Elephas maximus indicus: one gene and its partners. The protein of the gene in region 3 purifies or fractionates together with the protein of the main gene of each other region. This does not show direct contact. Links are inferred from orthologs where the notes say so. Each region holds a gene or a part of one and is shown on either strand. Other genes may lie near its edges. The genes, in order: COPZ1, COPG2, COPA and COPG1.

Region 1 (7,251 bases), on a different chromosome or scaffold from region 3:
CAGCTCAGTAAAGAGGTCACTCCTGAGGTTCACCTTTCAGCCAAAGATTGAACAGGCCCATGGAACAAAACAAGACTAAAGGGACACACCAGCCCTTGGGCAGGGCCTGGAAGGCAGGAGGAAACAGGAAAGCTGGTAATAGGGAACCCAGGGTTGAGAAGGGCGAGTGTTGACATGTCGTGGGTTGTTAACCAATGTCATAGAACAATGTGTGTACTGTCTGATGAGAAACTAGTTCATTCTGTAAGCCTTCATCTAAAGTACAAAAAAAGAAAAAAATTCCCATAATCAGAGCAAATTTTGGTCAATAGTTCTTCTTGACCATCCCTAGCTCACCCTTCCCTTCTCTGTGTGCCTTGTAGAAGTGAGGTGAGGATAGAAGAATATGCTCTCATAAGACTTCCCCAGAGGTTCAACCAAACCAGGAAATAAAATGTGAAGGGAGGAAACCTAAAGAAATTTTGTTAGCAATCTGTTCCAAGAAGTGGCTTGCTAAATATTATTCAGGTAAACTCTTTAGTTCAGTAGAGATCTAAGGGGAAATTCAGAGATTCCTCATTCTTCTCATAACGAAGATGGCCACCTAAGAATCAGGAGATGATGCTGAGTAGACAGAGGAGGCAATGAGATAAAAAGAAGCAGTGAAGAAAGGTGATTTTTTACCCGCTGCTATCAAGTTGATTCCGACTCATAGAGACCCTGCAGGAGAGAGAACTGCCCCACATGGTTTCCAAGTCTGTAAATCTTTACAGAAGCATTGCCACAGCTTTCTCCCGAGGAACGGCTGGTAGGTTTGACTTTTTAGTTAACAGCTGAGCGCTTAACCACTGCACCAACTGGGCTCTGATTCTTAATAAAATGGACCTAACTTGGTGGGCCAGTATATGAGGGTAGTGAGGTGAGAAAGAGATTTAGGAAATATCACCTGACTCTCACCCAGGGTTCCTCATCTGAAGCACAGAACACAAAAAATTACTGAAGTGACTATTTTTCTCATTTCTCCCAAGGATGGTACATAACTAATGCCATTCTCGATGCAGAGGAATAAGCTGATTCCATTTTACAATAGATGCCTGAGGGCATCATGGATTAATTCTCTCATAAGACTCCAGCTGAGAAAGGCTGGATGGATGCGGGGAAAGTATATATATTTTTAATTGGGGGACAAAAATAAATTAAAATGTAAGGAGCAAAAAAATGTTGGAAAGAGCTAACCCAGAGCAAGGGAAATGCATTTAATATCCGAAGAACCCTGGCAGCTGGTACAGTACAGGAGTTGGTACTCTGTCTCCGTCCAAAGGTTTATGTAACTGATGGCTGAAAGGACAATATTCCATAAAGAGGTGGAAAGCCCATGATGAGACAAACTCAGTAACACATCAGAGAGAAACTTGGTCTAGGAGGTTGAAGAAATAAAAATCTAATCCTAGTTCTGACACTGTGTTTCTTGAGCAAGCCCTTTTCCCTATACTTTGCTTTCCCTAAATCCCATTACATAGGTTCCTCATAATAAAGAATCATTACTTACTCTAACACACACGAGGTCGCTATGAGTCAGAATCAACTACAACATAGTTTCAAAACCAAAGTTCGGAGGTATCTAACCAAGTCAGCAGAGATACCATGAACGCAGCATCTTAGGCATTTAATTGGATATAGGAAAGAAGTGGGTTGAAACAGACTTCACTGCAGAAGCAGGAACAGGAAACTGAGGTAAGAGAAAATGTGACAAAGACTTTCTTTCACACAGAACTCCCTGGATTCAGCATTACAGAGAGACCCAGGTGCCTTGTTAAAAAGCCTCCCCAAGTATCATCTCCCTCACTCTTTTACCTCCAAGCAGGCTTCCTTCTAAACAGAAATAGGGGAGCCTAAAAATTCCCCAAAACTTCCAAAAAAACCAATTCCCTAGCATCTGTCCTAAATCTGTGAACTGGTTAAGAATACCGGGTAACTGCCTGAAAACAAGATATATTAAAAACTGCCTGCAATTTAAGTTTTCTATCTACACTGGGCCAACCTAGATGATGAGAACAAAATGATTTCTATACCAATTTGAAAGAGGGGTATAGAAACCTATTACTCAGTTTTAGCTGATGAGGATCTACAGGTGTATGTGTATTAGGTCAGAAGGAAAGAACAAGAAAAGGTGCTCTGGAAAGAGGCCTAGAATTCAACTCAATTAAGGAATTCATTCATTTAAACAAGCAAAACGGATCTTATGGACCAAGGAGCTAATGCAACCCCTTTAAAGCCACCCAAATTCTCATACTGCCAGAAGAGGGAGTCAGCATATCAGATCCTACAATAAAAGTTCCTAAAGTCTAAATACGGAGGGAAAAGGAAAAAAAGAATAAGGAGTCTAGAAAAACACTGCACAATCTATGCTAACTTTATCAAGAACTGTATTCCAGAGCTTTGATGGACACAATGATTCTCTCTCATGACAGGCATATATAAGAAGGATTAACGGGAAACCGATGTAAGGAGAAAAAAAAGTTTTTGAAGGAATGTGACAAAGGATGAAGAGTCAAACTCTGACAACCATCCGGAAGAGACAAAACACCTGAACTCTGGTCTTAAAATTTGGGGTGAGTTTGGAGATTTGAGAAAACTCAAATTAGGAGATGCTAAGAATTAGGGGGAACCTGAAGGGCCCCAATCCAGTACGCTTGCAATTCTATGTATCCTGAGGACTCCATGTGCTCCCCTCAACTTTCCACCAACCCTATGCCTTCTTTCCCCCATGGCTTCCTACTCTAATCCGAGGCTTTAGCTCCTGCAGTAGGCCACATACTCATTCCAGAGCCAGCAGAACCTTCAGTACCCGATAATTACCCAGAAGTCCCCCTTCTCCTCCCTCTCAGTCGGGCTGAACCCTGACTACCGGCCCCTCTGGACACCGCAGCTCTCCGCGGCCCCTCCGGCTCCTACCAAAATCAGCGCCTCCATCTTGCCCCGCAGCTGGTGCCGACGTGGAGCCGCAAAAGCAACGCCGCCGCTGATTGGCCCTACGTCCCCATTAGGCCCCGCCCAGGATAAGAGTCATTGGACTACAGAATGCCAGCCATTGCCCTATTGACCAATCATTGTACTATCTTGCTTAGCGGAAGCAAGGTGTCCAGTCAGAAGGCACAGACATTTGATTGTCAGTTTGAACACTCAATAAAATGCCAAGATGGCCCGACGGAATAGGGCGGGAGGGCCAGTTGGGCGGGGCTGTTTCCATGGGGAACAGAGGATGCGATTATTCATTTTCAATTGGTAGGGCAGAGATCACGTGATACTGTCCGACAGCTTTAGACATTTTAATCCTCACTCTCTTTAGGGGGCGCTATGCTCCCCCTTGTCCCTTAACATTGACAGCTTCTGACAGAATCCTACCCGAATCCCTGTGTTATCCGCTGTGGGAAACCCTGGTGGCGTAGTGGTTAGGACTTACCTCTAACCAAAAGGTCGGCAGTTCAAATCCACCAGACGCTCCTTGGAGAATCTATGGGGCCGTTCTCCTCTGTCCTATAGGGTCACTATGAGTAGGAACCCACTAGACTGCAACGGGTCTGTTGCTGTGACAACCACAGCTAGCTCCCGCCCCCCCCCACAAGCTTCCTCAGGTCACTTTAGTGACCTCACAGAGTCTGCACAACCATAGAGTGTGCAGACGAGATGCCCAGCGTGTTAACTAGATGAACCACGGAGACAGGAGTTGATCACCACAGTAACAATCTCCCCAAAATGTAGTCCCAGGCTTTGCCGGGCCGAGGGAAGTGGGAGAAGCTAGGGAGTTTCTAAAAGCAGATTTTCCTGTAGCCTGATATGAAATGGGATGTTAGAGCTTTGGAGACCAGAAAGGAGAGATTAGAAAGGACAAAAGGGGTAAAGGGACCAGGATAAGGGAGGACATGGGGAGCAGGGTCTGTGGTTTTCCAGTAGGGACAAGCCATTGCAAAATGAGAAAAGAGAAGTTTACTGACTACAGAGATTTCATAACGGGGAAGGGTTTTGATGAAGTTTGACTTTCCCCCACCCCTTGGTTCCTTGGTTCCCGACCGTCTTAGATCAGAGACACTTTTCATTATCTCATATTATTCCTAAAGGGATTTTTGTTTTTCGTCTCTGACAATTATGTCTTTAAGGAATCCCTCCAAGAAGACAGTCTAGACCCATCCAAGAGTTTTTCTAGTTGTTTTGGAGTACAGTCATAGGACCTAAGGAAAAAAAAAAAAAAAAAAAAACAGTACAAAAACAAACTACAGAGCTAATACATGCTATGAAGGAAGGTATTTAAATGACATTCTGGTGAAGTCCCAAGTGACAAGCCTCAATAATCTAGGGCCCCAAATATAAATTGGAAAAGTCAGCTAAGGTTGAGGGGATGGTGTGTGAGAAATTACTTCTTTTATACCTGATTGAGCTTAGTTTATCACTTTGTCCTCTTGGAATTGCTTAGATGCTGAACCCTGGAAACAAAGCCAGAAGGTCCATTATCTATGGACTTGAGAAAGCCTGAACTTAGAAGCTTATAGTTTAAGGAAGCAGAGATCCACCCCAAGGCTTCAGTTGATGAGGCTGGAAACTGGACCCTCTTTGTCACATGTAACCTCTTTAGGGGAGGACCTTTGAAAGACACAATCTGAGCCATCTCAAAGCAGGCAAGTTCCAATTTGACTGTTTTTCAGCCAAGTTTTGGGGAAGATCCAGATTAAGATACTTTACATAAAACAAGAGGCATGAAAGTTGACTATGAGTTCAATCAGGGGTGCTTATGCTTGGTTATTTGAAGACTAGAGAGAAAGCTGCTGGTGAGGAGCAGAGAGGAGATAATCAAACTTGGAGGTTTTGGAAAGTGTTCTGTCAATACGGTGAAAAATTAAACATGAATATATCTTCTCCTGAAAAAACAAAAACAACCCAGTATACGCATGTGTGTCTGTACACTCATGTATAAGACTGTATGTACATACATACATATGTAAGACTGCTTATTGCAGCATTGTCTACAATGGCAAAAAAATAACATTATTGTATATCAACAGAGGAATAATTGGATAACTTATTGTACATCCAGACTGTGAAATAATATGCAACTAATAAAAAGGAATGTTAGATTTATATGCATTAAACTGAAGAAATATCCATGGGATGCTAAATGAAAAAAGTAAGTTCCAGAGTAATTTATATGGTGTGATTCCATTTTTTTCATTAAAAAAAAAAATTAAGACTGTCTTAGTTATCTAGTGCTGCTATAACAGAAGTATCACAAGTAGATGGCTTTAACAGAAGTTTATTTCCTCAAAGTCTAGGAGGCTAGAAGTCCAAATTCAGGGCACCAGCTCCAGAAGTCTTTCTCTCTCTGTCCGTTCTAGGGGAAGGTTCTTGTCATCAATCTTTCCCTGGTCTAGGAGCTTCTCAGTGCAGGGACTCCAGATCTAAAGAACATGCTCCTCTCCTGGCGCTTCTTTGTTGGTGGTATGAGGTCCCCAACTCTCTGCTCACTTCTACCCCTTTTGGAGCCCTGATGGTGCAGTGGTTAAGAGCTGAGGCTGCTAACTAAAAGGTTGGCAGTTTGAATCTACCAGCCCCTCCTTTGAAACCTTATGGGGGTTTCCTATAGGGTCACTATGAGTCAGAATTGACTCAACTGGCAATGGGTTTTGGAAGATAAAAGGTGATGCAGGCCACACCCCAGGGAAACTTCCCTTACATTGGATCAGGGCTGTGACCAGAGTAAGGGTGTTGCATCCCACCCTAATCCTCTTTAATGTAACCTAATCTTGCTTCATTAACACCACAGAGGTTAGAATTTACAACATATAAGATAATCACGTCAGATCACAAAATGGTGGACAACCATACAGTACCAGGAATCATGGCTTCGCCAAGTTGGCACACATTTTGGGGGGACATAATTCAATTCATAACAGACTCTAATAATGAATTAACTATGTTTGCATGTTATTGTTGTTTTAAGTTGCTATCAAACTGGCTCCAACTCATGATGACCTTAGTATAACAGAACAAAATGTTACTCAGTCTTCCACCATCTTCATGATTGTTGGTATGTTTGAGTCCACTGTTGTGGCTATTGTGTCTTTCCATCTCATGAGGGTTTCCCTGGTTTTCACTGACTGTCTACTTTATCACACATGATGTCTTCTTCTAGTGGTTAGTCTTTGTTCATTACATGTCCAAAGTAAGTGAGCCAAAGTTTCTGCCATCCTTGCTTCTGAGGAACATTCTGGTTGTATTTCTTCTAAGACTGATTTGTTCACTTGCTATCCGTAGGTTTTCATTGGCTAATTTTTGGAAGTGGACCACCGTGTCTTTCTTCCTAGTTTTAGTCTGTGAGCTCTGCTAAAACTTGTCCGCCAGAGTGACCCTACTGGTGTTTGAAATACCAGCGGCATAGGTTCCTATATCTTAGCAACATGTAGACCACCACAGAACTACAAACCAACAGACGAGTATTGGATGTTTGTATGTTTCTGTAAATATACTCTTTCATTCCACAAATATTTATTGGATATCAGTCACACTAGGCACTCAGGATATAGCAGTGAACAAAACAGACAAGAATCCCTGCCCTCATGGAAATTACATTCTAGCTAGGCAGCAGGAGCAGAAATTAAACTGAAGAAATAAGTAAACTATAAAGGACGTTACCAAAAAAACCTGTTGCCATCAAGTCCATTCTGACTCGTGGTGACCCTATGGGACAAAGTGGAACTGCCCCACAGGGTTTCCAAGGAGCACCTGGTGGATTCAAACTGCCAACTTTTTAGTTAGCAGCCATACCACTTAACTGCTATGCCACCAGGGTTTCCATAAAGGATGTTAGGTGGTAATAAGTGTTATGGAGAAAATTAAAACTAAAAGGAGAAGGGGGGCAAACCATTGCACAATTTGGAGTGATACCATTCATAATTGAAGAGAAGCAAGTGACAGAAAAGAGGTTTAATAGATGATCAAGGAAGACCTTAATAAGAAGGAGATATTTGATAAAAGACCTAGAATGAGTAAGGGAATGAGCCATATTGTTATTTGGGGGGAAATGTATTCTAGGAAGAGAGAATATAAAGAAAGATGTGTAAGAGAAGTACTAATATAGGCTACCCCTAGAGGGTGAGATGGAAGGAATGGATTATTAAATAATTTTTCTTTATATGTGTTGGTATAGTGGGACTTTGTAACAACAAACGTGTGTATATAGTTTAGCACTAATAAAAAAAATCTTTTCACTACAATAAAATA
Region 2 (6,868 bases), on a different chromosome or scaffold from region 3:
AATACCCTGACATACAGACTAAAATGTTAGTGAACAGATACATTTTATTTAAAAAGTGTGTGCTTACTGCTCAACCTCCATTTGCAAACAACAAAAACTATTAAATCTATGGATAAGGTTCTCAGTCAAGAAACAGAGTAATGATAAAATATTCACATGGAATTCAAATTGGAAACCAGTCTTCTTACTCAGCACCAAATGGAAACGGGGGGGGGGGGTGTATATACATACAAAAAATAAGTAAATAAATCAAACCCATTGTCATCGATGTCAATGGGTTTGTTTTGTTTTGTTTTGATGATCTATCCTACCCGTCCACCTTCCCAAAACCCATTGCCATAGTGTCGATTCTGACTCACAGCGACCCTGTAGGACACAATAGAACTGCCCCATAGGGTTTCCAAGGAGTGCCTGGTGGCTTCGAATGGCCGACCTCTTGGTTAGCAGCCATAGCTCTTAACCACTGTGCCTCCAGGGTTTGCCCGCCTTCCCCAAGAAAGGTAAAATATCTACCTGGAATTTGCCTGAGATTTTGCATTGTATTTTTGGAGAGATATAAAGATCTCTGAACGAATGTAAACATTTATACTAACATTAACTAGTACCTGTTAAACTCAAAGTGGCATACTGGTTAAGCATTTAGCTGCTAGCTGAAAGGCTGGCAGGTTGAATCCACAAGCCACTCCATGGGAGAAAGATGTGATAGTCTGCTTCTGTAAAGATTACAACCTTAAAAACCCCATGAGGTAGTTCTACTCTGTCCTATAGGGTTGCTATGAGTCAGAATTGACTCGACAGGAACGGGTTTGGTTTTTTGCTGTTGCTGTTGTTGTTAAACTCAAATCAATAGGTATTTATTGAGAATCTACCATGTGGTCAGCTGGTTTAGTATCTCATGAACACAAAATAACTATATGTTATAATTCCTGTCCTCAAGAAGTTTTACATGTTATTATGTTAAATATTTTAGAGAAATAGATAAGTACTTTCCAGAAAGTACTTCACTCCATGCTATGTATTTCTACTCCAGGACACAAACCTGAGAAAAACTAAAAATAATTTACCTGGTTCAGTAAGTAAAGAATCTTGGTAAGAATATGCAAACATCTTCTTGGATTGATGGGAGTTTCATTGAATATACGAGCCTATAAAAAAAAAAAAAATATAGTATATTTTCTACATTTTCTATCACAGATGACAGCAAACCAACTTTTAATCACAATATCCAAAAACATTAGTCTTCAATGTATCATAGAATACAAGAAATTATTAGACGTAGCCTTGATCTTCCATTCTGTACTTTGCAACCCATTCCATTAAATCTAATACTTCAACTTTCTGAACTTTATCTGGTAAATAAGAATCACAATATTTACCACAAATCACAATATTTACTGCATCATATAAACACAGGGAGCTTAATATCTATAACTTCCTTCAATAACCTCACACCAAACACGTCTTCTGACATTTAAAATTCCCAGCATGTAGCAGAGTCTGTGTGTCTTTACATTTCTAAAAGCTCTAAACTCTCCCATGGCAAGTAACCCCTCTTCCTTTCCTCTCAAGTCTACATTCTCTGAACTCAGTTACATTCATGTCTCATTTTGGATGCCCCAATTGTAGCATCCCAGGGGTTCTCTGCCCGCCATTCTAAAACAAAATAGAAAAGAAAGGAGCACGATGTACTTGCAAGCCATACCTCCTGTAAGACAGCACTCTTCTCCAGATGCTGAAAAGGGTTGGAGCCACTCCCTATATGATAAAACAAAAGACATCTGTAATAGCTGTTCTGCATAAGCGTATTTACTTCCACCAGAAGGGCACTGAATGCTTGGGAAATCTCACTAAAGTGAGGTGACCACTTGGATATCACAGTGATAATCATTACTAATATGCATGTAAATGGAATGAAAGTATTTTCATTCTGGCACTATCTCTGTCGTTGCTATCCTGGAAGATCTCGGACTTCTCTTTGGCTGGAACCCTGCCTGAAATGAGAATGTCTTCTTTGCTTGCCCTCTTTGTACAAGAATATTATGACTATCTGCCATTTCCACTGCAATTAAAATGAATGAGATGATGGTGGGGCACTCTAATTTCTCTAAAGGCGAGCACTATTTTTTATTTGCTTATAACACGTACTGAGAGGCAGAAACGAAGAATTCAGCACAGAACCATAGCAACTTAAAAGCGGGAAGGGCCCATGGAGGTGAACGGACCCCACCCTCTCCCATGCTTTGTGAGGGCAGCTGAGAATGTGGAGGTGGCTTGGCCTCTTCGCCCTTTCCACTGGATTAAAGATGGGCAACAAGACGAAAGTCACTTCTGCATGCTAGAGCACTGACTTATGTTCCATGGGGCAGGCAGGTCCCAAGAAAGACTGTAAGGTAGAAGGCACCTCAACTTTGGACACGGACACACATGCTGTTCCCGTCGACCCCAGGCCCAAAAGAGGGTGCTCCCACTAGGGGCCCAGCACCCCCAGCACCCCCGCCTCTCATACATGCGCACGCACTCCTTCCACCTGTCGTGAGCCCGCCTCCACTCCTGACGGCCCCACCAGGAGGGGCTCGGAGGGGCTAAGCCGGAGAGGGGGGCCGCTGGGGGGCGGGGGGGCCGCTGGGGGGCGGGGGGCCGCTGGGGGGCGGGGCGCAGGGGCGGGGCGCGGGCGGGGCCGCCAGGAAGGGGCGCAGGCGGGGCCGCTGGGGGAGGGGCCAGGGGAAGCTCGCTCCCCGGCGGGAGCGAGGGGAGGGGTCGCGCGCACACCGGTGCCCACGCCCCCGGTGCCCACGCCCCCGGGGCCGCCGTGCCCGGAGCACATGAGGGCGGCGCAAAAAGGGGTCCCCACAGCCAAGGGTGTGCGTGAGCGGCCCAGCGCGTACCAGACTCCTCGTCCTTCTTGTCGAATTTTTTAAACATCTTGGCCCACTTCCCAGCGCCCAGACCCACCGCAACCATCCCAGACGCAGCAGCCGGCAAGCGGAAGAGGCTGCAGGAAGGCAGGCCCCGAGCGCTCCCGCCGGTTGGGCGGCCGGCCCGTCACTCCGGGAGAAGGCCCGCCCCCGGCCGCGGGCCGTCGCTCTCGCCCGGGGAGGGCCGCAGCCACGCCCTCTCTTCGCCCTCAGCCGGGCGTGGGCGGGGCCATGGGCGGGGCGGGGCCTGGGCGGTGACAGGTCGGAGCGAGGGGCTCTCCTGCCCACTTGGCCAGCGACCCGGCAGCCCACGCCTGGAGCAAGCAGGAATGTGATTTTATTTGGATGGCACGCCGCAGATGGCGACGTCTGCAGACCCCTGTCTGGAGACCGAGGCGGGAGGGGGGCCTGGAGGGTTTGTGTTCACTTAATGAGAGTGGCGTTATTTATGATCCACTGCTGGGCTCTTCCGTTGCGGAACGCGCTCTCCCCCGGCACAGTTCTGGTGGGCTTCTCTTCCAGGAGCGATGACAGGGTGAGTGGTTCCCAGATCGCCTGGGAAGTCGGCACTGCACTCGCTGACTTCTTGGAAGCTGCAACAAAGCACAGGGCACCTTGAGGTGAATGTGGATTCTACAAGGGCGCTTAATGCAAAGCGTGACCGACCAGAAAGCTGGTCTTTACTTTAACCAAGAGGGTAGATTGTGGACCGCGGACTACCCTTCCAGCCTTCGTTGTCAAACGTTTTCGTCGCTTCTTCAAAAACCAGTTTAAAACACACCGCTGGTTTACAGTCCCCTCATTTAATCCACCTCTTCTGAGTTTTTCCATCTTCAACCACACTCTTACATAACTCTTTAGGCTAACTTGCACGCACGTGTATATTCATGTTTCTCAGTCTTTTTCTAACCCGTTTGTTGTCGGTTCTTTGTCAGACAGTGTAAGTAAGAAACTTTTTCTACTTTTGGCTTCAGTTAAAACATTTTATCCAGATTCTCCTTCAATCTCTGTTCTGTTCTTTCAAGCTTCCATTGTGGGATCTTCTTCCTTCAATCCCTCCCCACTTTTTTGATGCATTATACCTTGTAAAACCTCCCTGGGTGGTGCAAGCGCTTTAGCGCTCAACTGCCAACCCAAAGGTTGCAGGTTCCAGTCTATGCAGAAGTGTCTTGGAAGAAAGACCTGGCGATCTACTTCCAAAAAATCAGCCATTGAAAACCCTGTGGAGCACAGTTCTACTAGGACACACGTGGAGTCAGAATTGACTCAACAACAGCTGGTGTGGTTTCTGGGTATACCTGGTAGATGACCCTTGAATCTGTTCCTTATCTCTACTGCTGACTCCTTAGCTCAAGTCTTCATCAGCTGTTTCTTGGACAGCCGCCTTCCTGGCCCTGCCTCAAACCATTCTCTATGATCTTTATTTCTTTGGATGCCTGGTAAACATGGAACACTACTGCGGGGAGGGAGACTGCTAGCCTTCTCTTTTGCCACGAGTGGAGACACTGATTCAACTTCACATAAGTAAAACAAGTATCCACTCATTTGTCTTGATGGAAAATATGAAGTCATAACTCTAATAGATGCTGCAGATCAAGATATTAAGCATTCTGTTTAGAAATGTAAATTGGGTGTATCCTGAACAAGGACCATGCCCTTGCAAAATTAGAGAAATTCTGCCTTTAAATATGAATTTAAGCTGCACTGTTGATATCCTTACATATGGTATCATTTAAGATTTAACTCTAACTTTACTAAATGGATTCTCAACTATTACGTTTGCCTTATCTGGCTTATAAAGTTCAAACCATACTTCCCAGGAAGAATTTCCCTTGCAGGAAATAGATGGTCTCATTGTCATTTTTACTGGGACTGAAACGAAACAGGTTTGGGGGAAGGAAGGAGAACCTCTTCCTTTTCTTGGGCCAAGGGTATTAGGAGCCTTGGCAGAAACAGGTAGATAGGCCAGGAGATTCCCAAGAACAAGTAACGTACTAGAGGCCCACTGGGAAGCTTAGAGGAACTGAGGCTGGGTTTGAGGCTAAGCTGAGAGTAAGTAGCCTCTTTTAAAGCAATATAACTCTCTCTGCTGTCCTTTAGCTTTCCTCCACACCCATGAAGTTTTGTTTACCACTACAGCTTTGCTTTAGCTGTATATATGGGAGTTAAGACAGGCAGTGGGTAAGGTGGGGTGGGTTGGTAACTAGGAGCAGAGAGGCCTGAAGAAACCAGTTAAGGGATGGTATGGTGTAACCTGGGACCTCTGGGACTGTTGCCCTGAAGATGGTTGGCAAAGGTGTTAGGTAATCAATCACTAGGATAACTGTAAAACAGTAAACTTACCTTAAAAAAAAAAAAAAATCTGTTGCTGGTGGACTTGAACTGCCAACCTTTCTGGTTAGCAGCCAAACACTTAATCACTGCACTATCAGGCCTCCTAAATAGACCTTAATAAAACCAAAAACCAAAACCATGGCTGTCAAGTCAATTCTGACTCATAGTGACCCTATAGGACAGATTAGAACCGCCTCATATGGTTTCCAATGAGTGGCTGGTGGAGTCGAATTCCCAACCTTTTGGTTAGCAGCTGAGCTCTTAGGAAGCCTCAAAAATCGCTTGAGGAGAGAAACCTAGTAGGAGGAATGGACTTTATCTTGAAGCCATCAGCTGGTGAAGTCTGGGAACTCATTAATTATATTTATAATATACAAATGTGTGTTCAGTGACCTAATATAGGTCCCAATAGCCTACTGGATAAAACCCAAGTTCTTATTTATTTACTATAAAAGGACTTCATGGTCGGGTTCATCTGTCTCACGTATTTAAAGTGCTATTATCGGTGCTTGGTAAGTGTTCAACGTTAAGTAGGCACCCCACAAATATGAAGAGCATTCTCATTGCACCCTCTTCGATGCAGCCTTATCCCAAGCCCCTTCTGTCCAATGCCCTACCCCAACCCCAAAGAGACTTGAGGACTTCTGAGATTTGCTTATCCTTTGGCCCTTCTAGACCAGTTTTCCCCAAAGTGTGTTATGCATACCGTGGATGGTTTTAGCTGCTACCTAAATACACATTTTAAAATTTAATTGTTATGAGTTTGATTTAATGTGTATCAGAAAAATATATAATTAGTATATCAAACCCATGATGTCAAAGATATAGTATTGATTAAGACAAGAGTGAAAAAAATCTTTTAAGAGAAAAATACTAAACTGACATGGCAAAAACTATTAAAGTGGTAGGTGGTGGTATTTGGGAATACTGTTCTAGAGCTTTCTTGACATGTAAGGCTATAAGCAGGGACCAAAACCTAGCACCTTGATCAGTTCCTAGCTTCTATGCTACAAGGAAAAATATTCTTTAGGACCACCATGAGAAATACTGATTTGCCCATATCTCCAGTCCCCAGAGGTTCTACCTCCAGCCGATATCTCAGTCCAATAAACCATTGCTTTGAAAGAAAGGAGCTTACCGTCTTTCCTCATATCTCTTTTACCGATTGGAGAAAAGGCAAGCTGAGGGTACATTTTTTTCTGTTTCCTCAAGGCATAGACCTTTGAATACTCCCCTTCACTCTTGAAATCATTGTCAGTGGAAAACCTTAACAAAGAAAGCTCACTTAGTAGACCCTAGGGCAGGGGGTTAAAGAAACCAGTCATTTGACAGTAAACTACATTCTCAGAGACTCTGAGAGAAGAAGGGACAATGATTAAAGGGTGTTGATTGGGACTGGGTGGGAGTATTGTTCAGTGGCAAGGGATGCTTCTAAAACCTTCTACTGTAAAACCTCTGGAGAACTCCAGAATCTCCCCTCTCCTCTCCAAGCTAGATATAGGCTGCTCTATCATTTAGTTTCAAATAAAATCTCGTTATCTTTGTGTTCTCATGACATATTGTTGTTAACCATAGCTCTGAACATGCTCTGCCTTCATTACTGTCTCTCTTTCATCACA
Region 3 (7,632 bases):
TGTGATCCATGCAGAGACATAACTAGGTGGATTATTCAAAAATTATTTTAGAGCAGTTCTCAACCCTGGCTGTGGATGAGAATCACTTTGGAGTTTTAAAAAAACACAGATGCCCGGGCCTTACCTCGGGTCTACTACACACAAATCTCCAAAGGTTGGGCCCAGGTAAACACAATTTAAAACATACCACATATGGTTCTTCATTAAATATAGCCGGCCATGAGAACTATGGTTCTACACCAAGGCACTGAAATACTTGCAACGGGAATGAGACAAAACCCGTAAGCACTTGTGGACTGCCAGATGAGCAAAATTTTTCTCCCATTGGATCTGGTAAAATCTAGATACAGAGGCAGGGTCGCCAACATTCAACTATATCTTACATATAGTAAATACTTCATAAATTCACGTCGGTGGTGATAATGATGAAACACGGAAGAATATCAGAGTCTGGAATAACTTTAGTAAGGACCTAGATACCAATGGCAGTTCTAAGTACCCCAAAAGCAGGGCTTTGAACAGTTCGTTCTGGTTTGAACCACTGCTGAGAATTTGCATTTCGGCCCCAGATATACTGAATAAGAATCTGCAGTTTAACAAGATCCCCAGGTGATTGTCACGTATAACAAATTTTGAGAACCACTGGTCCCTAACCAGAAGCGTTAACATTGCCTGGGAACTTGTTAGAAATGCAAATTCTCAGCAGGGGTTCGAGCTGTTTGGTTTAAAGCCCAGTCCAAAAGACAACAGCCCTTGCCACAGCATTTGAAACGTGGGACAAGGAAAAGATAGTCTAGCAAATAAAAAATATATAACTTCAGCTCTAGAAAGAACTAGAACAAGCTATGACGCTGCGCTGAAAAAAAACCTGTATTCTATTCTGGGTTCCAATCAGTGACTACATAATCTTAACTAACTTGCTTACTTTCTCTGGGGAGAAGCTTTTCAACTCTCTAGTCATCTCATACTGTGAGGAGAGATATAAAAAAAAAAGAATCTACATAGAGAACTTTGAACATCTTAAAGAAAAGAGCCTAAAAGAATGGCTATTATAACCAAAAAAATCAAACTATTTTTCTTTAGCTTTATCATGCTTAAAACTCTAATTAAAGAAGCTGTAGCCTATTCAGAATGGACAGATATGATGAGGTAAGACTTACAGATAAGTAGGCTGAAACAGGAAATAAGGCTTTAATGAGGGAATGGCCAGAGTCCAGCCCTTCCCTTTCATTCCTCTGTACTGGAACTTGGCTTTCTCTCTAAAGGCTATTGCTTTCTTCCCACAGAGTTGCTCCAAGAACACGCTAGGAAATGCATGTTTGCATTTTAGGCTTCCACCAACTATAAAGTTGTATTTTCGAAAACAAATACATATAAGCAAACACTTCTGTGCATTACTGTTCCCAGAGGGGATTTCTTAGAGCCCAGATCCAGGAGGATGGACTCCTGGCCTCTGATACTTACAGTGAGGTTCTAGCAAGACCAGCAGTCTGATCTCAGTCTATACTGGACCTGGCTCTTTTCCACCTGCAAATGCAGTTAAGGAACTAAGTCCAACAGAAGTTCTGTTTGGGGTGGTTTGGAACCAGTCAATTCAGTCCCAGTACTTTCTGTACAGGGACATGGGACAAATAGCGTATAGTGTATACACAGACACTTCCCAGGGTTTGTATAAACACCTATAAAAGGTACTCTGATTTTCAGCTTTGTGCAGGACTAGTCTAGCCATTTTTATAGGTGTAAATTCAATTTTTTTGATGATGAAGAAGCAAGATAGGGCCCTGAGTTTCCTGCCTATCTGTGAAACTACACTCACTGGCCGTGAAAGAACAAAATCTAAAGACAGCAGGTTAAGCAGCAGAGGAACTGGGGTTTGGCCTTCACATCACACCTTTTTTTCCCTCTGTGATGTCTATAATTTTTAGAACCATGTTGCCACGGTTTTGGAACACAGTCACAAAGCATAAAGACAAGTCTGAACGTTTTACTAATTCTTCCTGACAACTATTTGGCATTCTTAATGCCTTCTTCTCAGTTCACTGTTTTTAAGAAGCCCATTTTGGTTCCAAAAAGATCATTCAGAGGGCAGAGGATGACTAGGCTCCACAGGATATGAGACTTCTACTTAGAAGGCAGTATAGTAGGATGATTAAGTCTTGGCTTAGAACTCAGACCCAAAAACAAACTCACCGCTGTTGAGTTGATTCCAACTACAGGACAGAGTAGAACTGCCCATAGGGTTTCCAAGGCTGTAAATTTTTACAGAAGCAGGCTGCCACATCTTGCTCCTGCGCAGCGGCTGGTGAGTTTGAGCTGCTGACCTTTCAGTTAGCAGTCAAGCGTTTTAACCACTGCATCACCAGGACTCCTTGACCTTGGACCACTACAGTGTAAATCCTGGCTTCATCACTTATTATTAGCATGACCTTAGGAAAGTTACTCAACTTCTCTAAGCCTTGCTTTCATGATCTTTATTTAAAATAATAAGACCTACCTCATGGAGTTGTTATGAGGGTCAAATAAGACATTCATGTAAAAAGCTGGGTATGTAGCACTTACTAAGTGTTAGCTCTCATTAATTACCTTGCCTGGTTTGCAAGATGGTTCTCTATCACTTCCTGCCCACACAGTTTAATTTGAGTGCCGAGTCTCCCAAGCAGGATATGGATCTTAATTTATATCTAGGGCACAGACTAAAATATCATTGGCCACAAACACAAATCCCAACCCCAACTCACACTGGCAGCCAATCTGATGAGTGGCATTGAGCAGACGGACACAGGGAGCTGTTTTATTTAAGGGGATGTAGATCTTCCTCTCCACTGAATTTCCCCTGCACAAACCTGAGAAAACAGAAAGTGTTAGAAGAAATTGTGAGACGTTGATATTAGCCTCTGCTATGTCATGAGTTTACTGCATTAAGTCACTCAATATCACATTTTCTAAAATGGGAAGAATATCCATTCCTCTCACTTTTTGGGCACATTATTAAAGCAGATACATGCTCTACAAAGCACTCAACTAGTGCTTCAGAGGGTTATTACAATTTCCACACAGAGAAGCTGATTCTGAAGCTAAAAGAGAGAAAACTTGATTTGTCAAAGAAAAGGCACATTTGGCCTCAGCTGTGTCAGCTTCTGGCTGCGTGGTTGATCATATGTCTACTTTTCTGTCCTGTATGTATATTAATAATTAGTTAATAATGGGGTACAGATTACAAAAACAAAAACTTTCTGAGATACTTTTCCAAGAGCCTGAATAGACCTTGTTGTTGGTGTTCGGCGCTTTCGAGTTGGCTGACTCATGGTGACCTTATGTGCAGTGGAACAAAAGAACAAAACCATGCCTGGTCCTGAGCCATCTCCGTGATCTTTGACATGTTTGAGCACACTGTTGAGGCTGTTGTGTCGATCCATCTCATTGAGGGTTCCCCTTGCTCTCACTGACTCTCTACCAAACATGTTGCCCTTTACTGGCAATTGGTCTTTCCTGATGACATGTCGAAAACAAGATGAAGTCTTGCTATCTACGAATCTAAGGAGCATTTTGGCTGCATTTCTTCCAAGGCTGATTTGTTCGTTCCTCTGGCAGGCCATGGTATATTCAACAGGAACAGAGTTGGGAGACACTTTATGCCACACACACACCTGTCAGAGTTAATCAACTCTTCACCAACTACACCAAAAGCGCCAATTGGTGGTTTGTGTGTGCCCAGAGTGGGGGGCAGCTAGAATTTCTCATTTGGGATCTTTAAACACAATACGAATTTGGAGGAAGGCACAGTCATGGTTACATACAGGCATATTTGCATTTTAAGGCTCCAACAAGTAGAAAATCATGTATCAAAAAATAAATACAAGTAAGCAAACACTTTTGCACACCACAAATTCATAAAGTTCCTTGGATCATTACTTCAGGGTCTAAACAGTTAAGAATACCCATATCAGAAGTCTCACTTTACAGATGAAAGAAACTGCGGCAAGGCAGAGGGCCAGGGGTTTACAGTGAAACCAACAGAGGAAGAAACGAGGAATCTACCTTCCTAAGCCCTGAACCCACAAAACGAGCCTGGTTTCATCTTAAAAAGTCAAAACGTTCTGGGAAGGAAGCTGAACACCGACACCTGTCTCTTTTGATTGTGGATAGGGTGGCTGGGGCCGTGCGAAAAAATCAGCATTCGGACAAACTGGGAGATAGCCGGGCAGGAAGTCCAGGAAGAGGCCTGGAAGTAGGAAGAGAGCGGCACAATGTGCCGAAGGGAGAAGGGCCTTCAGGTCCAGGAAAAGGGGGGAACTTCTGTCGCGGGAACGAAAGAGAAAAAGGATTTAGAGGGCGGGGGGACAGAGGGGCAGTGGACCAGAAAGGGAGACGGCGGCGCTAGCTGCTGGGCCGATCCGGAGGGTTCTTACAGAGCGAAGCTCACGGGCATGGGAGGCCTCACCTGCCAATAGGACGCAGAAAGACAGAAGGTGAAGAAGACCCTGACTTCCCCGTACAACCTCACAGCCGCCCGCAGCCGTAGCCATCTTGCCTCTCAGTTGAGCGGAAGCCTCGGTTCCCCTTCAGTCTGGTAGCGGCCTCTCTAGGCCACCACTGGCGTCATCTCTGTGGCCCAGAGCTCCAGAGACCGGAAGTTCGTGTCTTGAGGCGCTTCCGGTGGCTACTGCGGAGGGACGCTGACGTGGAGGCAACCAAAGGGCAGCAGGGAGTGGCGGGCCTCGGAGTAGGACCTCGGAACCGGAGGTCGGGAGGATGCTAACCAAATTCGAGACCAAGAGCGCGCGGGTCAAAGGTATTGGAGAAGAAAAGGGGGAGCACGGAGGCTGGATGTCACGGGCGGCGCTGTCACGGGGGAAGAAAGGGAGTAGACATGCTGGCTGAGTTTGGCCCATCGACGGACCCTGAGGAGGACGGGAGGGAGGGAAGTTAGGCCTGGAGGGCCGTTCTCCAGTCTCCTCTTTGGTGTGTCCTCGGGCCCTGATTTACCTGCAGAGTGGTTTCCAGCCCCGCAATCCCTTAGGTCAGTTCCCTGTTCTTTCCCCTCTCATGCTCCTGGGGGCTGTGGCCGCGACTTTCTTCTGCCGGTAAGGTCTTGTAACCTCTTGTCTTTTTGCTGATCGTGTTGTGGGGAGTGGTCTTGGGGATTGAGTCTCCATCTGTCACAGGCACCCGAGTCAGTAGCTTTGTTGGAGACGAGCACTGGCTACCTCATTTAAGGAAGCCTTGGCTGCGTCATATCACCACCCAGTGCTTCCACTAGGGTCTGTTTCTTACCGGAAAACAGGACTTTGAGGTCTGTAGCTCTCAGTAAAATCTGAGCTTTGCAGGATTGTCAGGTAAAATACCGGACGTTCAGTTAAATTTGAATTGAGATTAACAACGAATAATTTTTTAGTATCGTTCTTTGTTTATCTGGACTTCAAATTTGACTGGGCATTTCCTGTATTTTTATTTGCTAAATATGGCAACCCTAGAGCTTGAGTGTGTAGAAGAGAGGGGTGGAGTTGGGGGCAAATGGCTGAAATCGCAGCAGTAGTCTTTTAGAGTGTTTTAATGGCAAAGGCAAGGAAGTCAGGTCTGCTGAGAACTGGAAAAGAAATTAAAGCAGCAGTATTTGATAAGATGCAGCATAGCAAAGTGGTTTGGAACTTGGTATTTGGAATGAGATGAACTTGCTTCAGTATCCCGAAATAGTCACTAACAAGCTGTATGTGACCTTGGGCGACGTACTTAACATCTCTAAATTTGTTTCCTCATCTGTAAAATGTGAATAGTTACTATTCTCTTATAGAGAGAGAATGCGCCCCAGAGGTGCAGTGGTTAAAGCCCTCAGCTGCTAACTGAAAAGTCAGTGGTTCAAACTCACCAGCCACTCGTTCTGTGGGAGAAAGATGTGGCATGTAAAGATTTACAGCCTTGGAAACCCTATAGGGCAGTTCTGCTCTGTCCTGTAGGATCACTGTGAGTTGGAATCGAATCCCGGGGAACGGGTTGATGGCATGAGTCAAAACTGGCTCCGTGGCACCAGATAACGAGGTATATCATAAAGGTAAAAAGTGAGCAACCCAATGGAAAAATAGAATGAAAAATTTAGAATTAGGAATGTAATTGTTTAATAAACAAATGAAAATATGCCACACCTCACTAATTAAAGAAATGCAAAAAAACAAAAACATTTTTTTGTCTTAGGTTAACAAAACAGCAAATAACGGATAACATCTTATGTTGTCCAAAGTCCGGTGAAACAGGTACCTTTATAAACTTGGTGAGAGTCTATACTGATCCACCCTTTTTGCATTTAAACAGTGTTTCTTGCATGTGGTTGCCGTGAGTTGGTTCAGATTCAGTGCAGCTAACAACAACCATCATCAGAATTTTGAATGCACATACCCTATTCTTGAGCAATCAATTCCATTTCCAGGTCTTTAGCCTAAAACAGTGATAGTGCAGATAGGCTACGTTATATGTGAAAGTGTCTTTGTTGTTATTAGTTGTCATGTAGTCCATTCAGACTCATGGCGAGTATCTTCATTACAAAAACCAAACCTGTTGCAGTGGGGTTGATCCCAACTTAGAGTGACTCTCTAGGACAAAGTAGAACTGCTCCATAGGGTTTCCAAGGCTGTAATCTTTACGGAAGCAGACTACCACATCTTTCTCCTACAGAGTGGCCGGTGGGTTTGAAGTGCTGACCTTTTGCTTAACAGCCGAGCACTTAACCACTGAGGCCACAGGCTCCTCGTATCTTCATTAGGTCCTGTTTTATTGTTGTCGTTTTTTATTAGGTCCTGTTTTTTGATAGCCAAAAAGTGGAGGAAAAAACTTAAATGCCCATCAGTAAAATAATTTAAAAATGTGATGCATTTGTACAGTACACTTAAAGAGTGAGATTATGTTTATGTGTACTTAAACAGAATGAGATCTATGATATATAGCCACATGAGAAAAGAATTTTGCAGAAAATTATAATGTGATCCCCATTTTCATACAATGAATAAGATCTACGTTTGTATGTAACTACATTAAAAATCTGAAAAGGAATACTCCAAACTGTTAATAGTAGTTACCTTTGGGGACTTCCACTTCTAGTCATGGTAGAGTGACAGGGGCCAGATTTATCTTCCAACCTTAAATATCTACACAACCGGACAAAATGTATGAAACAAAGCTTTTCAAACACTGGACAACACGCAGTGCAGGAGAGTGATCCTTGAGAGAAGGGAGATAAAGGAGGTGAGTCCTATGATTGTTTTAGCTTGCTGCCTGAAGAGAATTTCCAGGCCACAGTAGCAGGAAGGAGGAAGAGCCCTGTGGTCTCGCTGAGTTGAACACACAAGAGTTTAGTGTTCAGGGAAGCCAAGGTGGCTAGAATTTGCTGGACAAAGTACCAGTGGAGAGAGTTGCACAGAGATGACTGGAGATCTGCATGGGGTCCCCTTGGGTCTTTGACTGAGGACTCCTTGCATGTGCATGTGAGGAAACTATTCAGGGCCTGGGCAAGAACCACTGGAAAGTAAAAAGCAGAACAGTCTGTGGAGCTCACACAGGGCTTGGAATAGTTTGTTTCTATGAGCCAGAGTAGAAAGGTCCTGATATACAGGGCACCATGCAGAGGCGTCAGAGGGGTGTTGC
Region 4 (7,914 bases), on a different chromosome or scaffold from region 3:
CCTGGAGCATCCTTCACCCCTCACCTCCACTTCATCCTGCTAGTTCTTACTCATCCCTTAGGACTCTGCTTGGACAGTTCTTCTGAGAAGGCTTTCCTGATTCAAACTCAAGTTGGGGGCCCCCTGGTCACACTTCCCATGATTAAGCGAGGACACCCGACCTCAATGCCTGAGTGCCTGGGGGTTTCTCTGCCAGTTCTGGAGGTGCAGAGACTGCTATATCCCCAGAGATACACTCAGGGATTGGCAGGCATGCAATAAATATTTTCTACATGAACATATAAATGAATGTATACCCCACCCCCTGCCCCCCCACCCCAAAAAAAAGCTGGGGCAAGAAGAAGAGGACTACGTCCCAGTTTTTACAGGCAAGGTACACTTTAGTCACATCTGTCCCCTGAATCACTCAGCCTAATGCAGAATTCAGTACTTAGTAAGCAAGCCTGTTTGTATACCACTTGCATTCTCTACATCTATTTTCCTAGTGTTCTCTTTTAGCATCCGTTAATGTCTTTGTGAAAGTTCCAGGCTGGTTCAGTTGACCATGAGGAACTAAGGGAAGGAAGGGGTTGTACCCAAGTTAAGGCTGGAGAATTAAAAGGGCACAGTACTCCCTGAGGGTTGGCAGCAGTACCTGAAGGATGAAGGAGACAGAAGAGGAAAGGGCACCAGGCAGCTATGCCAAACAAAAGTCTAATACGCATCAAAAGCATGGTACACACAAGAGAAAAAATGGCCTCTGTGTCAATGAATCCATCAGGGAAGCCATCCACTGCCCCCAAAGACTTGCCTGCTGGTGACAATGATGACATCCTCTGCTATGCAAGACATTTCCTTGATAGTCAGGTAGCACATCCGACGGAGTGTGGGCTGCAAAAGAGATGGAAAAAGCCGTATATCACTTCTGGCTTAGTATGAGGGCCAGAGTTAGGAAAAGAAAACTCCAGTCTGCACAAAGGCATCCCATGCTGACTGGTGGGGCCAGTTTTCTGGGGGTCTCCTACGACTATGTCACAAACTGGCCCCTTAAGGAAAGCTGGGGTCGGAGTACTTACATCATTGGACTGAAAGAGCTTGGTCATGGCAAAGAAGGCCTCGGTTGCTTCGGTGGTCCCCAGATGCTCCCCCTGTGGTAATCAAGAAAGAAGCCTCAGCCTGGGACAGAGGGGACAGATGGCTCTTCCTGTTGGATCAGCCCAGGCCAGATCCTCGGACCCTGCAAAAATTCCATTAAAGGCTAACACACTGGGTGCTCAGGCGACCCAGAACTGAGCCAGTGGCTGCAACCACACGAAGGCTGTCAAATCACTTAAAGTGATGATAACTTGTGTACTCTCCTCAACACCAGTTTCCCCACCCTCAAACCTCACCCTATTACCTGGTTTATGAGATAGAGAATCTTGGTGAGGATGTGGGCACATTTCCGAGGGTTGATGGGAGTTTCGTTAAATACACGGGCCTAAGAAAAAGCAACAAAGGCTATTACCTTCTAGCCCTGTTTGTTTCCTTTCCACTGACTACCTTCAAGCACATTCAAGGTTCTGAGAAGTCCCAGGGTAAATAAATACACTTGCCTAAACAGGCTTATTTCCATAAGAAGTTTTATTTTTCTTAACTCATCTATTAACAACCTTTTTTTAAATATTAGTGATGTGTGGACCTATAACCAACAAATACTTAGGAAATGCTTATTAAATGGAAGGTGAAATGACTAACAACAAAAATGTAGGCATCATCTCTCCAAGAAGAAAAGTTTCTCTGTCTTTCCAGGCACAGGTTTTCTCTCCTACACTTCTCTAATCAGGACTGAATGTGTTGCTTTTTCCATCATATCCACCATGAACATTTATGATGGAAGACAGAGTGGAACAAATGACACTTGCCTCCTGGAGTACTGCACTCTTCTCAAGGTGTTGGAATGGGTTGGAGCCTCCACCTACAGTTAAAGAGAATAGAAAACACTGAGTACCATCCTGAATTTCAAAGCTATCAAACACAGAGAAGGGAAAGATGTCCCTATTGTCTACCCAACAAAGTTCAAACTCCTCAGGAACGGCAATCAAGGCTCTACAGTCTGCCTATAGATCCTACCACTCTCCTGCAAGGGGCCTCCAACCTAACCCAAACCACTTACAGTCACCCAGCAGCCCTGGTACGCTCCTCCTTCTGTTTCTCATGGTGGCATGGCTTGTATTCATTCATACAACCCTTACTTTACTGAGTCCCTACTATGGACCAGGGACCACGATTTCCTCCTGACTAAGTTTCCTTCATAACAGAGGTCACATTTGTAATAATCACGTTTGTGACTCTCTGGTTGATGTCTGTCTCCTCCACTACGCTTGTGACCATCTTGTTCATTCCATTGTAACATTTCCAGCTCAAGAACCGAGTGTCTGCTTTGTTCTACTGCTGTATCAGGACACAGCACAAAGCCTGACATAAAGTACTCAATACGTGTCTGCTGAATGAATGAATGAATGAGTCAGGGTTCTCAGCCACAAGACAGAGGCTCCACAGATTACACTCCAGCTTGGACAGAACCAGCGCGGTCCCGGCGAATCCCGAAAGGCCAGGCGAAGAAAGAGGAGCATTCGGCCCAGCCTTTCCTCTGGCAGATGGGGAAACTGAGGCCCAGGGAGGAGTGTGATTCGCCCAAGGTCACCTGGCGGGTCACAGTCCGAGCTTACGAGTGGCGGGCCGCGGAGGATGCTCTGGCTTTCCGAGGCCTGCCACTGACCAGCTGCGGATCTTCGCACAAGCCCCGGCCCCTCCCCGAGCCTCGGCCTCCCAGTCAGCGCAGAGTCCCGAAAGCTTGCGCGGGGGTTCGGCCTCCCCCAGGCCCAGGCCTGCTGGGTCCCCTCACCCGACTCCTCGTCCTTCTTGTCGAATTTCTTCAGCATGGCAGGGCCGGCGAGGGCGCGATGCAGCACTGGGCTCGGCAGGTGCGGTTCGGAGTAGCTGCCCGGCGGAGGTTCCACTTCGGCCACTTCCGGGCTCCGACCAGGCCACGTCGCTCGAGGCTCTGCGCAGGCGCATTCCGCACTCTGCGCATGCGCACGCCTGAGCCGCCGCTGTCCCTTTTTTTTGCGTTAACCCTGTACTTGCCGAAGAGGTCAGAGGGCCGCAGACCTGGGGGGCTGAAGCCTCTCACGCTCGGGACGGCTGGCGACCTAGCTCGGCGCCTTACGCCCTCCTGCTGTGTACACTGGGAGTTGTAGCAGCCCCTGCCTCATTGCGTGTGAAGTGAGTTTAAAACAGGCTTTCGGCTGTGAGGTCCGTAGCACGCTCGCCTGCCGTCCCACCCAATTAAAGTAACCTGTTATTAAGGAGCCCTGGTGGAGCAGTGGTTAAACTCTGGGCTGTTAACCGAAAGCTTGGGGTTTTGAACCCGCGAGCCGCTGTGGGAGAAAGATGGGACAGTCCGGTTCCGCAAAGATTTCAGCCTTGAAAAGTCAGCGGGGCAATTCTACTGTATAGACTCGCAGTGAGTCGGAATCGACTCAACGGCAATGAGTTTTATGGATTAATATTATAACTGTCACCTTTTCGGTAAGCTTCGCTAACCACTCCTTACTTTCCGTCTCCCTTTCCTGCTTGATTTTCTCCTTGACTCGAATCACCATCTAGCACACAATGTTTTTATTGTTTTCCTTGTCTTATTCACTGCGGAGGATGATGTTGGCAATAGTATGTGAACAATAAATTCTTGTAGAACGAGTTAATGCATTTAATTGCTGTTATAATTCATATGTGCCCACTCTCATCTTATCTGCTCCTGGTGCAAATTGTTTTTTATTTTATTAACTTACAAGGAACTAAAAGGTCAGTGTGGAATTTCAATGTTGCTCTTTTATTTAATACTTACTAAATGCGCCGCCTGGCGCTGGGGGCGGGAGAGGAAGGGAAAAAGACATCACTAGGGTTTATCTTTGGGGGGGGTTTATCTTCCTGATAGGGGACCTACACCGGACACTGTGTGGCTAAGGTAAGGACGGTGCGTCCCAACATGCCAATTGCATTCGCTGCGGCAAAACCGAGTCTGGATGGTTAAGCGCTGGGACGCAGGTCATCACCTGGCCTGGGGAGAGGGAAGCCCGCAGTCTGGCAGGGAGGTGAAGGAGCCCTGCTGGTGAGTCGGGGGTTGGAAGGAGCGGCAGGGTGCAGGGGCAGAGACCTGCAAGTGAAGGTGGAGGTGACAGCACGGCTGGGGTAGGGGTGTCCGGGAAGGGGCCAGTCTTTTAGCTTAGGCAGTTCAGAGGTTAAGCCTGTGGGAAAGAGGGAGCTGGGGAGAGGACGAGCCAGTCGTGAGCCAGAGTGAAATTGTCAAGACCCAGAAAGACATTAAAAACCTTTAACCAGTAGTAGCTCCAATCATTATCCTGAGGAAGCCATCCAAAAGAAGAAAACAAAGTTTCCCACTGCAGCAATCTGTAGCAAGATAATTAGAAACACCCTAAATGCCCACCAATAAGGGGATGGTAAAGAACATTGGGTAAATCTGCTGCAAAGGACCTCTTCAAAGTGTTGAAGAGCAAAGATGTCACCCTGGAGACTAAGGTGCACTGGACCCAAGCCATAGTATTTTCAATCACATCATATGCATGTGAAAGCTGGGCAATGAATAAGGAAGACCAAAGAAGAGTTGAACGCCTTTGAATTGTGGTGTTAGCGAAGAATATTGAATATACCATGGACTGCCAAAGGAAAGAACAAATCTGTCTTGGAAGAAGTGCGGCCAGAATGCTCCTTAGAAGCAAGGATGGCGAGACTGTGTCTTACATACTTTGGACATGTTGTCAGGAGGGATCAGTCCCTGGAGAAGGACATCATGCTTGGCAGAGTACAGGTTCAGTGGAAAAGAGGAAGACCCTCAACGAGGTGGATTGACACAGTGGCTGCAGCAATGAGCTCAAGCATAACAATGATTGTAAGGATGGCGCAGGACCAGGCAGTGTTTCGTTCTGTTGTGCATAGGGTCACTATGAGTTGAAACCGACTTGATGGCACCTAACAACAACAACAACAAAGAACATTGTGGTACATCCTCTCAAAGGGATGTTTCTTGCAACTTGGGAGACCACATGCAAACTTCTCATAATAATCAAGGTATCAAAAAAGGATAGAGTGTAAAAGTGTTCATAATTAAGGTGAAATAAAAATCCTTCATGGTTAGAAACCAGAAAGAACCCTAGAGAATTGAATTGTTAAGATGGTGAAATACAGATGAATTGTGTTGGGACAAAATAGGCTTTTATGTTATGATATTAATTCTATAAAACTTTATACAAAGGACAATTTTTACAATACTCTTTTGATAATGAGAATTGTGGGTTGTGGCTCCAGCTCTATGTGTGAGCTTATATTTGATATAATTATTATTTTTAAATAAAATATATATATGTTGTTCAAGGTAATTGCTAAGTCCTTTGCGGAAACATAGAGTATTAGAATTGAAAGTAGAAGTAATACTGGGGAAATCTGAGTAAGATTGGTGAGTTGTATCAATGTCAGTATCCTGGTTATGATATTATTTGTTTTTAGTTATCTAGTGCTGCAATAACAGAAACACTGCAAGTGGATGGCTTTAACAAAGAGAAATTTATTCTCTTACAGTTTAGGAGGCTAGAAGTCTGAATTCAGGGTGCCAGCCTAAGGGGAAGTCTTTCTTTCTCTGTTGGTCCTGGGGGAAGGTCCTTGTCATCAATCTTCCCCTAGTCAAGGAGATTCTCAGCGCAGGGATCCTGGGTCCAAAGAATGTGCACTGCTTCTGGTGCTGCTGTCTTAGTGGTATGAGGTCCCCTGTCTCTCTGCTTACTTCTCCCTTTTATATCTCAAAAGAGATTGATTTAAGAAACAACCTCTTCCTGTAAATTGAGTACTGCCTTATTAACATAACTGCCTCTAATCCTGCTTCATTAACGTCATAGAGATAGGATTTACAACATGTAGGAAAATCACATCAGATGACAAAATGGTGGACAATCATGCAATATTGGGAATCATGGCCTACCCAAGTTGACACATTTTTGGGGGACACAGTTCAATCCATGACATTATTCTATAGTTTTGAGTTTTTTTTTTTAAATACAATTCATATATCATAAAATTCAACCCTCTAAAGTGTACAACTCAGTGGCTTTTAGTATAGTAAAAAAAAAAAAAAAGTGCCACCATCATCTCCATCTAATTCCAAAACATTTTTATTACCCCAAAAAGAAATGCCACGTTGGCTATAGTTGTACAACATGATTAATATAATTCATATCACTGAATTGTACATGTGAAAAATATTGAATTGGCAAATGTGTCATATATACGTTTACAGCAATTAAAAAAAAAGGATTTAGCAAAGTGGAATTGCTGGGTCGTACGGTAGTTCAGAGTATAAAGTCGACTAACAAAAATCAGTTGGGGTTCTATGCATCAACAATGAGAAATCTGAAGGGGAAGTCAGGAAAATGATTCCATTTACCACAGCATCCAAGAGAATAACATACCTAGGAACCAGGGATGTGAAAAATTTATACAATGAGAACTATAAAACGCTGCTGAAAGAGATTAAAGAAGACTTAAATTAATGGAAAGATGTTCCATGTTCATGGATGGGAACATTAGTTAAGATGTCAGTACTACCCAACGCAGTCTATGGATTCGACTTGATCACAATAAAAATTCCAACAGCTTTCTCTATGGAAATGGAAAAACAAATTCTCAACTTTATATAAAATGTCAAGAAGCCCCAAAAAGCTAAAGCAATGTTGAAAGAGAAGAACAAAGTAGGAGAACTCACACTTCTCAATTTTAAAACATATTATACAGCGACATTAATCAAAACAGCCTGGTACTAGTATAAAAATAGGCACACAGACCAATGGAATAGAATTGAAAGTCTAGAAACAAACCCACACGTCTATGCTCAACTGATTTTGACAACAGTTTTAAGTTCATTCAGTGGGGAAAGAAGAATCTCTTCCATAAATGGTGTTTGGAAAATTGGATTAGCACATGCAGTAAAATGAAACAGGATCTATGCCTCACACCATATACAAAATATACAAAAACAAATTCAAAATGGGTTAAGGACCTAAATGTGCAAACCAGAACTGCAAAATTCTTAGAAGAAAATGCAGGGGCAATATAATAAAATAACAAAGCACAGACAGCAAAAGACAAAATAAAGGGGACCACTAAAAATTAAAAACTTCTTTTCATCAAAAGACTTTACCAAAAAAGTGAAAAGACCAGCTACTGACTGGGAGAATATCTTCAGAAACTATATATCCAATAAGAATCTAATAGCCAAAAAATATATAAAGCTTCGACAATTTAACAACCAAAAGACAGCCCAATCATAGAATGGGCAAAGGACTTGAATAGACATTTCACCAAAAAGGAAATTCAAATGGCCACCAAGCGCATGAGTAGATGATCTATGTCATTAAAAAAAAAAAAAATGTCATTAGCCATCAGAAAATAATAAATGTTGGCGAGGATGTGGGGAAATTCGAACGCTTATGCGTTGCTGCTGGGAATGCAAAATGGTACGGCTGTTGTGGAAAACACTATGGCAGTTCCTCAAAAAACTAAAAATAGAGCTACCATATGACCCAGGAATTCCACTCCTTGGTATATATCCAAAAGACTTGAAAGCAGAGTCTCAAACAGATACTGTACACCAATGTTAGTTGCAGCACTATTTACAATAGCCAAAATGTGGAAACAACCTAAATGCCCATCAATGGATAAATGTGGTACATACAATGGAAGAAAATGGGATACATACAAACAAAGACATACTACTCAGCCAGTAAGAGAAACAAAGTCTTGATACATATTATGATATGAATAGAGCTTGAAGATATTATACTGAGTGAAATAAGTTAGTCAGAAAAGGACAAATATTTTATGACC

Evidence for each region.
Region 1: the proteins of COPA (region 3) and COPZ1 fractionate together in Homo sapiens (co-fractionation; 6 studies listed by BioGRID and IntAct, with this or other methods). This does not show direct contact. The link is inferred for Elephas maximus indicus from reciprocal best matches to the Homo sapiens genes COPA and COPZ1.
Region 2: the proteins of COPA (region 3) and COPG2 fractionate together in Homo sapiens (co-fractionation; 4 studies listed by BioGRID and IntAct, with this or other methods). This does not show direct contact. The link is inferred for Elephas maximus indicus from reciprocal best matches to the Homo sapiens genes COPA and COPG2.
Region 4: the proteins of COPA (region 3) and COPG1 purify together in Homo sapiens (affinity purification with mass spectrometry; 6 studies listed by BioGRID and IntAct, counting the BioPlex papers as one, with this or other methods). This does not show direct contact. The link is inferred for Elephas maximus indicus from reciprocal best matches to the Homo sapiens genes COPA and COPG1.

Annotation. Positions count from the first base shown.
Region 1 is NC_064822.1:109,811,477-109,818,727, reverse strand, and holds the start of COPZ1 (coatomer subunit zeta-1), read right to left. Parts: upstream 3,009-7,251; 5' UTR 2,953-3,008; coding exon 2,935-2,952; intron 1-2,934. UniProt on the Homo sapiens protein: The coatomer is a cytosolic protein complex that binds to dilysine motifs and reversibly associates with Golgi non-clathrin-coated vesicles, which further mediate biosynthetic protein transport from the ER, via the Golgi up to the trans Golgi network.
Region 2 is NC_064826.1:19,142,334-19,149,201, reverse strand, and holds the start of COPG2 (coatomer subunit gamma-2), read right to left. Parts: upstream 3,020-6,868; 5' UTR 2,962-3,019; coding exon 2,886-2,961; intron 1,756-2,885; coding exon 1,703-1,755; intron 1,146-1,702; coding exon 1,065-1,145; intron 1-1,064. Other genes in the region: TSGA13 (testis-specific gene 13 protein), read right to left, coding at 3,339-3,508, 6,388-6,515. UniProt on the Homo sapiens protein: The coatomer is a cytosolic protein complex that binds to dilysine motifs and reversibly associates with Golgi non-clathrin-coated vesicles, which further mediate biosynthetic protein transport from the ER, via the Golgi up to the trans Golgi network.
Region 3 is NC_064821.1:199,026,549-199,034,180, reverse strand, and holds the start of COPA (coatomer subunit alpha), read left to right. Parts: upstream 1-4,622; 5' UTR 4,623-4,752; coding exon 4,753-4,792; intron 4,793-7,632. Other genes in the region: NCSTN (nicastrin), read right to left, coding at 2,739-2,843, 4,442-4,526. UniProt on the Homo sapiens protein: The coatomer is a cytosolic protein complex that binds to dilysine motifs and reversibly associates with Golgi non-clathrin-coated vesicles, which further mediate biosynthetic protein transport from the ER, via the Golgi up to the trans Golgi network.
Region 4 is NC_064838.1:41,579,167-41,587,080, reverse strand, and holds the start of COPG1 (coatomer subunit gamma-1), read right to left. Parts: upstream 3,018-7,914; 5' UTR 2,904-3,017; coding exon 2,867-2,903; intron 1,937-2,866; coding exon 1,884-1,936; intron 1,460-1,883; coding exon 1,379-1,459; intron 1,128-1,378; coding exon 1,056-1,127; intron 871-1,055; coding exon 791-870; intron 1-790. UniProt on the Homo sapiens protein: The coatomer is a cytosolic protein complex that binds to dilysine motifs and reversibly associates with Golgi non-clathrin-coated vesicles, which further mediate biosynthetic protein transport from the ER, via the Golgi up to the trans Golgi network.